Struthio camelus: one gene and its partners. The protein of the gene in region 3 purifies or fractionates together with the protein of the main gene of each other region. This does not show direct contact. Links are inferred from orthologs where the notes say so. Each region holds a gene or a part of one and is shown on either strand. Other genes may lie near its edges.

Region 1 (3,745 bases), on a different chromosome or scaffold from region 3:
ACGTAATAAACTTCTTGTTTTCAGAAAGCAACTTCATTATCAAAGGTGTCACCTGAATACCTGTAAAAACAGGAACGTCTTACAGCATAGGAAGAAGAGCTGCAGACTGCTTTGCCTGCTGATCTGACGACCAAAATGCCCTCCCCATCTCATGGATATTTGCTCATCTGGTTCACAATCAACTTCTCACAGCTTAGCAAGTAACCACTCATCTGCTGACCACACATACTCACTTTGCCTGGAGTAAAGCCATGAGTAAAATATATTTGCTTGAATTTCATGGAAATGGATTTAAAGTAATGCATTTTAATCTCTTATTTGTAAGAGGCTCCAAACTGGCAAATAGGAAAGTACCATTGATATTGTATCTCAACAAGTTACTCCACGGAACAATCACGTATCCATATTCCAGCTCCTGCATCACAAAAACACTGTAGTACCTCACACTAGCGTGTAAATCTTCAGGGAAGGGACTCTCTTGTAGTATCTGTGAGGTGCAGAGTAAATAACCATGTAAGTGAAAAAAATAATTGCCCCTAGCATTCCTTCATAATTCTTGCTAGAAGTCTGTCTCCCTTGTGCAGCAGGCCCTAGCCCACTTTTGTCCAAACGAGTCGGGTTAGCTAGTGTAGACTTCCCATTTATACCTTTTGCTCTAGCCTGGCTCACCTCGGGGGAGACGAGAGGGGGCCGCACTCAAAGCAACAGCTCCACCTGCGGATCAGATGGAGCAGAACCCTCTAGCAGCGGAGCAACAAGCATCTGGGAGCACTAACCCCTTCCAGCAGCACAGCTGCATCCAGACAAAGACATCCGTCCACAGCCTTCCACCCTCAGACCCGGTCCCAGACGGGTGCTGCCCCAGACAAGTCTCCGAGGCAGAGACCGCATATCTATTTCACCAGAGGCGTGAAGATTGCCTTTCCCCAGCACATAGGTTTTGCAGAGCTTTGCGGACAGATAGATCAAGATCTCAAAGGTGACAAAAATACATTGTAAAGACTTGTTTAAAGAAAAGTCTAACAACGTGATGGCCAATAGTGATTTCTGAGGACTTCATTCGTGCTTTCTAAACTCCAGAGACTCACAATATTGTCAACATCAGTAATTAGCTATAGCCTTCACACAGAGGGAAGAGGAAGAACTGAAATTTAACACAGTGAGAGTAAAATCTGAAACGGAGATATAGAAACAACAACTATATGAATATTTTTTATACTGTGTATCAAGAGGTATTGCACTTTGACGTATGCGCTTAATCTTATTTTTAGAGATAAAGCACTTTATCTTATTTTTAATGAAGACGCCGGCACGTGGAAGTTCACAAATCACTGACAGAATAGTACTTCTGACCCCATATACAGACCAACGATTGTGGCTATGCTCTGAAAACACAGTCTCTAAGAGCCTGCAAACAACAATTCATAGCAAATACGGCAGAACTTCATGAAGCGACACTTAAGTTCATGTTTATCTCAAGAGATCTTCAGAGATCTACAGTCAAGAGATCTACAGTCAATCCATTGACTGGACCAGCTGAATCTTCAGGCTTTCTCTCTCCTTTTAGGGCAATTGTAAAGAAAGATGCTATGCCCGTGCGTGCATAAAACGGAATACATGAATCGTAAGCATTAACAACATTAAGCAACCATTAAGCCTTAACCAACAAAACCCAGAACCCCCGCCACGGTTAGGTTCGGTTTGTTTTTTGTTTTTTGGTTTTTTTTTAAAAACAGCTTTTCCCAGATTAACCGCCCCACTATACACAGGAAGCGGCTCACGGGAAAGTTGCGCTGGCTTTCCCGCAGCACGGCCATCAGCATCCTCCCCCAAGGACGCCGCAGCGCCGTGCCCGCCCCCCCCAACCCCCCCGCCGCGGGGAGCGGCTGTCACCGAGCATCCCCGGTCCGGGCGGAGCCGGGAACCCCCCTCACCCCGCGCAGCTCCAGCCCCCGCGCCGCCGCCGCCCGGGCTCAGGGCGGTTGGGGGGAGGGGGGGGGCAGCGCCGCCGGGGGCGCGCGCTGAGGGGACCGTTAGGGCGGCCGGCAGCCGTTGGGGGGAGGGGGGGTAGCCGTTGGGGGAGGCGGGGGCGTCCCGATACCCGCCGCCCTCCGCCTCACCTGGAGACGCAGTTCTCCAGCACCGAGCTCTTGCCCGCGCTCTGCCCGCCCACCACCGCAATCTGCGGCAGGTCCAGCAGGCAGTTCTGGCCCAGCGCCGCGAAGGCGTCCTGCAGCCGGTTGACGAGCGGGATGAGCCCCTCCATCCCGCCGCCGCCGCCGCCGTCCCCGCCGCCGCAGCTGACAGGTAACGGCCGGCGCACTGCGCATGCGCCGCACCCGCAGCCCGGAGGCGGGGCCTCTGCCGGCCGCCGCCACGCCCCTCCACCCGGCCACGCCCCCCACCCGGCGCGGCCACGCCCCCCCCCGCGCGGCGCGGGCCCGGGCCCGGGCGGCAGCGCGCAGCAGAGGCAGCGCCGCGGCCCCCGGGGGGGCGGACACCGGCCAAGGGCACCCCCCCCCCCCACCGGTGGGGACACGGGGACGAGCAGACAGAGCCTCGGGGGGGATCACTCACCGGCTTAGGGGACGTGCCGTTTCCCGCCGGAGACCGTTTGCACCCAGGGAAAGAGCTGCCGTCAGTTTAATTAGAAACGCATAGCGGGAGCAAGCAGAAAGGAGAGGCAAAGAGCGGAGACGAGACGTGTCCGTGATTACCGGCCGCAGTCACGGCACAAAAACACCCAGAGCAGAGGCTCTGCAGAGGCTGCCCTCTGCGTCACGGCGAACGGCGGCCGCCAGCCGTCGGGGGGATCAGGCGATCCCGTCGGGGGGATCAGGCGATCCCGTCGCGCAGACCGGTGGCGGCGGCGGGGGCGAACGCAGCAGCCCCGCGGCGCGCTTAGCGGGGCGCTCCGGCTCTCACCGCCTCGCTGGGACACACCACGTTGTCATCATTTCTAGCTACGTGGAGCCTGGGGGTTATTGACATAATTATGCCAATTAGCAGCACAATTTCCCCCCTTCCACACTCCTGACTGAGCTGGCTGTGCCAGGAGGTGTTAGAGTAGCTTTTTGGCTGCTTTCCGACTAATGGGTTTCTACTGAGGCTGGGATTGAGGGATCACAGCGTTGCACTCTGGCAAAATCCTCGTCACACTGTCTGAGCAGAGGAGCCCTTCGTACTGCCCTCGCTGAAACAATTAAGATCAGTAAAAGGGCAGCCTGGCTGTAGGGCCGCATCTACACCAGAGACGAGCGTGAACGCTTAAAAAAAAAAAAAAAAAAGGCAGGAACCCTTGGGAGCGATGCTATGCGCACCTTGCAATTAATAACCCCAGGAGCAGTCCTCTCCGTTAGGTTTTTAAACTACATCTTTGCTTCCACGATTTTTTTTTTAAGTTCTTGGGTTTTTTTTTTTTAAAGAAAATATCTACTATTAGTAAAAGATTAAGTTATTCCTCCAAACCTGTGCAATTTCCAAACCAAACATTTTTTCTGTCCAAGCTGAGCTAAGGCTGCTAAGTGGCCACACTCACCCAACTGCTGCATCACTTAAGAAAAGCTGCTCTCCCAAAAGCAAGGCCAAGAACAGCCAGGGCATAACTTTCCCACCTCCTAGGAAAGATGGGAATATTTTTATTAGGCATGCACATGTTATTAGAAAGAAGTCATTTTTCAAACAGCTCTAAGAGATCAGTGAAGAGAAAGCAGAGGGCTGTGTATTTTCAGCTCCCTGCTTTTCG
Region 2 (3,745 bases), on a different chromosome or scaffold from region 3:
ATGATCAATCCCTGCTGTCAGAACTGTTACATTTACATGCACTAATAAATGTTCCTGTTTTATCCAGTCATTGGGTGGGAATTAAACCCTGAGATTTACCTTTCTCAGGCATATACTTAACCATGGGACTTTTCTACCTTCAGCCTAATGAACCCTAGTTTTTTTTTGTTTTTTTTTTTTTTTTGCAGCATAGCGCTAGACCTTGTTAAGATTGCATTCCCCATTCGGCCCACTCCATAGTCTCAAGGCCAGAGCACCTTCCTGAGAGGTGTGTCTTTGAGCTCCTCAGATTTCAGGCAGTGAATCAAGCCTCTCATTTTCTGAGCATGCTAGGCTAGAAAATCATGAACAGGCATCACAATTGATTTTCATCAAAAAAGTTATTGATTCCAAAAAAAAAAAAAAACCCATCCACGGTACCTCAGCCTTCTATAAAAGGCAAATGCAAGCCTGGAAACCCCTTTGCAATCAAGTTTTTCCTTACTGAAAAATATAAACCAAACTACATTGTAAGACCTTAACTATTTGACAGTTCTCTTCCGCACTTCTCATTTTAGTGTCCTCCTACAAATCTGATTTAAAAAAAATTTTAAAGCCAAAGAATTTATTAGAAATATTTAAAGCAGTTATCACTGAAAACACGTAAAAATGACTTGGCAATGCAGAACACCTTGCTCCAAATATATACTCATTTCATTACAGGATGAACTAATATACAACAAGTCTGATGATGGGAAAAAATACTGGGCAAAATAAAGCTAAAAATCAAAAAGCCATCAAAATGTCATCACATAAAATGAGATAAAAATTATGATGATATACCATTTAAGAACATAGAACTTTTTATTATGAGGTACAACATATAGAATTCACTTTTCACCGAGCTATCACGTATTCAGATAAAGTTGTTCTGAACCAAAGGCACAAACAGATGTTGTTGTAACTTATTACAAGAAAATTTAGCATACATGAAAAAAATGTTCATGTTGAAATCTAATTTAAAGTGCAAAATTCTCTCTCAACAGATGAGAAGAAATTGTCATTTCATTTAAAGCAGAAGCCTCACCATTAGCAAGTAAGAAAACAGAATAGCTGTTCCTTGTTTATAATCCATACATAAAAAACACATAGCTTACAAAATATCAAGTCAGCCAACTTTTTACATTGTAGCTATCAAAACATATCAACTTACAGAGTACAGCCACCGCTCCAGATTCAAACATGAGACATTCTTCTCTGTTTCTGGTTTCCACTATCACACTGAATGGAGGTGGATCCAGCTTGTGATAGACACGGTATCCTTTACTGAAAGCCATTTTGCCTTTATCAGAGGCAGTCCTGTCCAACATAAGATGATGTTAGTGAAAGCTTCTTGTGCTTCCGGATACCTTCTGCAAAGCAGGTCTGACTTCCATCCTTTCCTAAGAAATGTATGGGTTTAACATAAAAAAGGTGTCACGCTCATTCTTTTTACCTCATGAGGCTTTTTTTTTTTAATCTCATATTCCAAGGGTATATAAGGAATAATTAAAGACAACATAACCATGTTTCAAGAACGTGATTATCGACATATAAATAAACTCCAGAAGGTTTATTTAAAAGCTTCTCTGAGACAACTTGAATTTCTTTCATGATATTTAACAAACATGATTTATTAGAAGAACAGAAAACACGATTCTCCTCTAGTCTCCACAAACACAGAACAACTGTCTTACTCATATGCTAAATGTTGAACGAAGGGGACCAGAAGCCTGGGCAGGCTTCAAATTTTGCAACAACTTTACTGATGCTGACCTTGTACAAAAGGACAGCGAAGTTTAATTGGGAAAGCTGTTAAGAGGTTTTAAAAGATCAAACAGAAACGTTAGCCTGCTGGTGTTGTTTTAATGAAAGCAGGGTTTTGTTTGGCTTGAAACCCTCCCCTGCAGCGGCCAATGAATGAGACATTGCAGTATTGTACTAGTGAAACTGCCTAAAAGCCATAAAGGTAAGAGCTTCCTCTAAAATAAAAAGGGAAAAAGAAGAAACCATAAAGAACAGAGGGACGGGGCAGATTTTTAAGGGCTTAGGCTACTAAGGAAACACACAAGGAGCCAAATTTTAAGGGCTTAAGCTGAGCAAAGAGATGACGAAGGGAGGCTTCTGCTGGAAGCCGGGAGCGCGTTTCCTGCCCTGTTCCTTCCCTTGAGCTCAGCGCCGGTAACCTCTGCGCCGGACGGCCACACGGACTTTGCGCCTCCAACACGGAACAAGCTGCTGACCCCTCTCCATCCTCCCCCGCCCCGGGGCCCCGCCGCCCTTCCCTTGGCGGGCAGCAGGGACGAGGACACCAGCCGCCGCCGCCCCCCCCCATCGTCCCAGCGGAGCCGGGCACCGTGCGCGCAGCCCCTCCCCGGCCCCCGCGGCGCTGACAGAGCCGCCTCCATCTTGTCTGCCGCCGCCGGCGCCCCGGCGGCCCCAGCTCCGCAGCGGCGGCAGCCGGGCCGGCTCCGCGGTTGGCTCACGGGCGCGGCCCCCTCCCCCGCCACCCCCGTCCCGGCGCTGCCGTCCGCGCCCCCCTCACCGGCCGCGCCACCTGCTGCTGCTGCCGCCGCCGCTGTGGCCGCCCGCTCCGCTCCGCGCCGGGGGAGCCGGCGGCACCTCACTTCCGCTCCGGCCCCGCCGCGTCCCTTCCGCACTGCGCCTCCCGCGGCCGGAAGGCGGCAGAGGGCGTGGAGAGGGGCGGGGCCGGGGGGGCGCGAGCCTCGCGGGCGGCCGTTGCAGCGCCGCCGCGGCGGCCGTTGCGGCAGCCGTCGGGGCAGGCAGGCAGGCAGGTGTGGGGAAGAAAGGTTTGCTGAGGCGCCCGGGCTGGCCGGTGAGGGAGCCGCCGCCGGCGGGCTGCAGGTTAGGGTGAGGGGTGCTGGCTGCTCGGTCCTTACCTCGTTGCCTAGCGGGTCCGGGCGCGGCCGTTGTCACTGCGGTGTTTTCCTGTGTCACCTCGCACCCCCCAGCCTCGGGCCTGCCAGCACGGGGAGCTGCTGCTTGAGGCGCCACGGTGGGAGCAGCGGTATGGAGCTGGAGGGAGCCTGTGTCAGACCTGCGTCCTTGTGAGTGACATCCGTTGCGAAGGCCCTGTGCCCTCTAAAGCAGGGGCGGGCTAAACCTGTGCAGAGCATTACCAAGCACAGCGCCAGCCGGGCAAGCCCTGCCTAGTGTGGTGGTTCAGCCTGAAGAAACCTAGTTCCTTAGGAAAAAGGAACTAGAGAGCCCTCCGGAGAAATTCTTCTTTTGCATGGTCATAAGCCAATGCTGGATTGCCAACATGAAAGTTGAAAACGGAGCATGCAGTGGGGTCATAGTGAGGCTGCTTTGAAACACGATCAGTCCCCAGACTCTGTTGTGTGTTTATTAGAGATGCAGCAGAGAGAAAAATGTTTCAGATAGGCTCATGAGTAGTGACACAAACAGAAAAACCTCCCTGCACAAAATGTGCCATGGGCACAGAAGTGTCAGTGCCAGTGCTCTCCGAGCACTGTTGGTAGGGTAGGAACACTGAACCATGGCTAAAGCCTGCATTTTTCTGACAAGCTTCAAAAGTTTTAGGTACAGACGTTAAACATCTCTTTGGAAATTTCCATCCAGCCGCTGCAGCCTTTTAGTGGAGGAGTACTGCTTCACTATATTGTGTTGATACGTTACAAGCTGCTGAGCAGATGACAGCAGGCTTGAGAGCTATGCTAAAATCAAGAGAAGTGGGGATACTCTG
Region 3 (3,745 bases):
CTTCAGATATTGCTGTTACAGAGAATAAAAAATTGGAACTGTCGCACGTATTTAACTGAATTCTGAAAAAGTTAAAAACTGAAATAATGGGGTTCCAAAACTTCTCGAATTAATCAGTTCAACCGTGTGAAAAGTAGTGGCTCCTAAACCGCCGGATTCATGTTAATTCCTCATCCTCAGTCTCCACAGAAAGTATTTCACTCATCCTACTTAAAACAAAACCTTTTTTCCAACTTAAAAAAAAGTGTGGATCTGTTTTTCGCTTTTGATAAAGTGGCCTCAGTGGGAAAGTACAGCAAGAGCAGGAGAGAGGTTTGTCGTTTCTGTGGACAAGGAAACATGGCTATACAAGAGTTACGCTACGTCTCAACGGCACACCTGCCTTTTAGGGATCTCTTTGGTGGTCTTAACAATTACGCTCTTTCTTTCTTTTTGCAGAAGTTAAACATCCACCGATCCAAATCAAACACCGCGCGGATACATACCCACAAGACAGCGTAGTCGCAGGCGGTGCTGCACGTACCTCCTCTGAGCGCTGCCGCTGGCTTCCCCCCCCCTTAGCCTCCCATCAGGAGGAATAAATCGAGTGGGACCACAGCTATTTCTTGCCACATGTTGGCGGAGCGTCTCATGGGACCCGCACGGATCCTGAGCAGTTTCTTGATGTTATTTTCTACTCTTAATAACCATCAGGCAGCAAGGCCCAGCTGCCGCAGGAGGCCGCGGATGAAGCGCATCTCCGACAGCCGCCGAGGGAGCTTGGCCGAGGAAAAATTATTCTTTATTTGATACACAGTTGTTCTGAAACCGGCGTTCAAAAGCGACCGAGGGACGACGACTTTCTGTTGACCCTCCTCCGCCCAGACAGCGAAAGGCGGGTGGATTTTCAGCGTCTGAAGCGGCATCTGACAGCGGACGCCGGGGCTAACAACGCCCTGAGGCAGCAGGCTGCCGCACAGGCGGGCGTTAAACCGCCACCCCCGCCGCGCCGGGGGGCGGGGGAGCGGGTCGGCCCGCTACTCGAGGCGGGAATTGGAAGGCAAACGCTGACTAGAAAGAGAAAACGCTGCGGGGCCCGCTACCCGCGGGTGCGTCCGTCCCTTCCTCCCTCCCCGCCTGGCTCGGGCCCTGGCGAGGAGGCCGCGGAGGAGCGGCGGCCGGGCGGTGCCAGCGGGAGCCGGGCGCGGCGGGGGCAGGGCGGCAGGGGGCTGCGGGGAGGGGGCACCGCCGCGCCGATACATTAGCCGCCGCCTGCCCAGCAGCCGGCGCTGCCTGCTGAGCCGCCCAACGGCCCCCAGGCGGCGGCGGTGACGGTGGTGGCGGTGACGACGACGACGGGGGGGGACGCTGAGGAGGAGCTGCCTGCGCGGCCCAGCGGGCGGGCGGGCCGGACACAGCGAGCGAGCAACCGCGGCGGGGAGGGGAGGGGAGGGGAGGAGAGAGCGGAGCGGCGGCCGGGCCGGGCCCGGATCGCACCGCACCGGCAGCGCCATGGCCACCAAGGTGAGCAGCCGGCGGCGCCCCCTGCGCCGAGCAGGCCCCGCGGAGGGGGCTCGGCGGGCGGTGACCCCCTGTGGGGGCGGCGGGAGGCACCGTGTGGGCCACGGCCGCGTTTCGGGGCCCGGAGGGAGGGAAGGAGCGGGGGGTGGGGTGGGGGGGCAGTGCCCTCGCCGCGGGGGCTGGCGGAGGTCCCGCTTCCCCGCCCGGGCCTCGGCCGCCGGGGCAGCGCCAACTCCGGCCAAGGGGGAAAAGTTGCCTTCGGCTGCGTTTCCGCCCGCTGCCCCCCGTCCCTCGGCGGGGCGGCGAGGCCGGCGGCGGCCTGGGAAGGGGCGAGGTGCGGGGCCGGCCTGGCCCTGGCCCTGGCGGCCTCGCACTGCGGGGCGGAGGGAGAGATGTGTAACCCGCCCCCCCTGCGGTGTTGTCGCGTACCTGCCCGACAAAATAAGGTTACCGAAGGGGAGGCCGTAAGTGGTGTTTCCGAGCGGCTGATAAAAAACCTGCTCGGTGGTCATCAGGCACAGGGGCGTGCTGTGGGTGGGTGTTTTTTTTTTTTCTTTCCCCCAGTGGGAGTCTCAAGTCTGTAGTTTGCGACTTGTTAATAATAGGGTCCATTAAAAAAAAAATTGCAGGAAGTGAAATTGTTTTGCTCTGTTCTTCAACAGTGTCTGTTGTTAATGTAGCTATCAAAATTAGTACATCCTATCCGAAACTGATCTCTTTCTAAATTAGCAATATTTATTTACTATATTAGTGGATGAAAGTGGTAAAACTGGCTTGCCTCTGCTTTGTGTAGGTGTGAGTTAACATCCACAAACAAATGTCATCTGTAAGTTGTCTAAATATTGCAGAAAGCTTTCTGGTATTTGAAGTAGTGCTTTCAGATTCGCCTGATTCAATAAACTTGGCCTGTAGTTTAAAAAACTTCCTTTAATAAAAACTGTTCTCGGGCACGACATCATTTATTCATACTGTATTTCTCAGTATTTGGGAAATCCGTATCTTAAATATATTGAACCTCATATATATGTAGCAGTCTCAGTAACCATTGAAGCAGATGGTTATTCATGCTCTAGTAACATTTTTTTTAGAAGCACAGAAGAAAGTGGTTTAGGCTTCAAAATCATTTAGACACTTCAAGAAGTATTAGTATAGTGAACTCTGTGTTCCTGTGTGCTCAGGTTTTAGAATATTGTTAACGGACTCAGTGTTAATATTGGCTGTTTCCACAGAGTTGTGGGGTGTGTGTATGAATAACATGTAAACACATGTAGCTATGGCAGGTAGTAAGAAAAGTTCAATTGCATACTATTATGCACATATATAGAAGTAATGCATATTATCTGCTAAGCATTTGGAATATGATACTGTTTATCATCTAATCTTGAGGACGTGCGGGACTGCTTATTCTGTGCCTAATTAATGAAGTCATTTTATTCATACATTTGGAAACTTGCACTTTGATTTTTCTTGAAATAAACTTTTGGAGTCGTGGCCTCAGAATGATGGGTATGTGAGTTCTGACTTGCTAGCAGTACTTTATTGAAATTAGGTGAGGAAGATGCAAGTATTTGGGTTTTTTTTTTATTCTACACTTTGCAAGTTATGGTAATTTACTTTAACTTGAAGGCTGATGTAAGGAAATGATAGTTAGCAAAGACTTTTTTATTTTGATATACTGATAACAGAGCAGAAGCTGACCTTATTTTCTGTAAGCTTGACCCATAAGGTATGTCACTCTCTGCTAATTATCCTATTCTGGATTTTAATTGGTTAAACTTTTTATAATGTCAGCTGTAAAAAAAAAAAAAAAAAAAAAAAAAAAAATTTTTCCTCCCCTCAACAGTGCAAGGGAGTGACTGACAATAAACAGTGTTTAGGAACTCGGCCAACTAACCAGTTACTATTTCACTCGAAAAATAAGATTTATTTTTTTTTAATTGTAAACAAACTTCCCACCTTCTACTTCCTCTCCTTCCAAAATAGTTTAGTTCTATAAGAAATACACAGTATGTTGGAGTTGCACATAGAACATTAACAAGGCTAAACTATGATTAGTCTCTTGGACTGTGAATTTCTCAAACTTCAGTGGCATTTGAACCTACACACCTGGCAGAGATATCTGGCAATCAGGTCTGCCTGTACTGTGCAGGCTATTAGTATTTCTTGAATTAATTCATGTTTTACCTAGAATATATTTCCAGAGGTGAGGAGGGGTTCAATCTAGATTTGCACTGTTTCAGTAATT

Evidence for each region.
Region 1: the proteins of SNX9 (region 3) and DNM3 purify together in Homo sapiens (co-immunoprecipitation; 3 studies listed by BioGRID and IntAct, counting the BioPlex papers as one, with this or other methods). This does not show direct contact. The link is inferred for Struthio camelus from reciprocal best matches to the Homo sapiens genes SNX9 and DNM3.
Region 2: the proteins of SNX9 (region 3) and SYNJ1 purify together in Homo sapiens (co-immunoprecipitation; 3 studies listed by BioGRID and IntAct, counting the BioPlex papers as one, with this or other methods). This does not show direct contact. The link is inferred for Struthio camelus from reciprocal best matches to the Homo sapiens genes SNX9 and SYNJ1.

The regions. Positions count from the first base shown.
Region 1 is NC_090949.1:8,700,526-8,704,270, reverse strand, and holds the start of DNM3 (dynamin-3), read right to left. Parts: upstream 2,342-3,745; 5' UTR 2,267-2,341; coding exon 2,121-2,266; intron 1-2,120. UniProt on the Homo sapiens protein: Microtubule-associated force-producing protein involved in producing microtubule bundles and able to bind and hydrolyze GTP. Most probably involved in vesicular trafficking processes, in particular endocytosis.
Region 2 is NC_090942.1:120,015,315-120,019,059, forward strand, and holds the start of SYNJ1 (synaptojanin-1), read right to left. Parts: upstream 2,682-3,745; 5' UTR 2,564-2,681; intron 1,422-2,563; 5' UTR 1,350-1,421; coding exon 1,193-1,349; intron 1-1,192. UniProt on the Homo sapiens protein: Phosphatase that acts on various phosphoinositides, including phosphatidylinositol 4-phosphate, phosphatidylinositol (4,5)-bisphosphate and phosphatidylinositol (3,4,5)-trisphosphate. Has a role in clathrin-mediated endocytosis.
Region 3 is NC_090944.1:77,914,794-77,918,538, reverse strand, and holds the start of SNX9 (sorting nexin-9), read left to right. Parts: upstream 1-1,317; 5' UTR 1,318-1,491; coding exon 1,492-1,503; intron 1,504-3,745. UniProt on the Homo sapiens protein: Involved in endocytosis and intracellular vesicle trafficking, both during interphase and at the end of mitosis. Required for efficient progress through mitosis and cytokinesis. Required for normal formation of the cleavage furrow at the end of mitosis.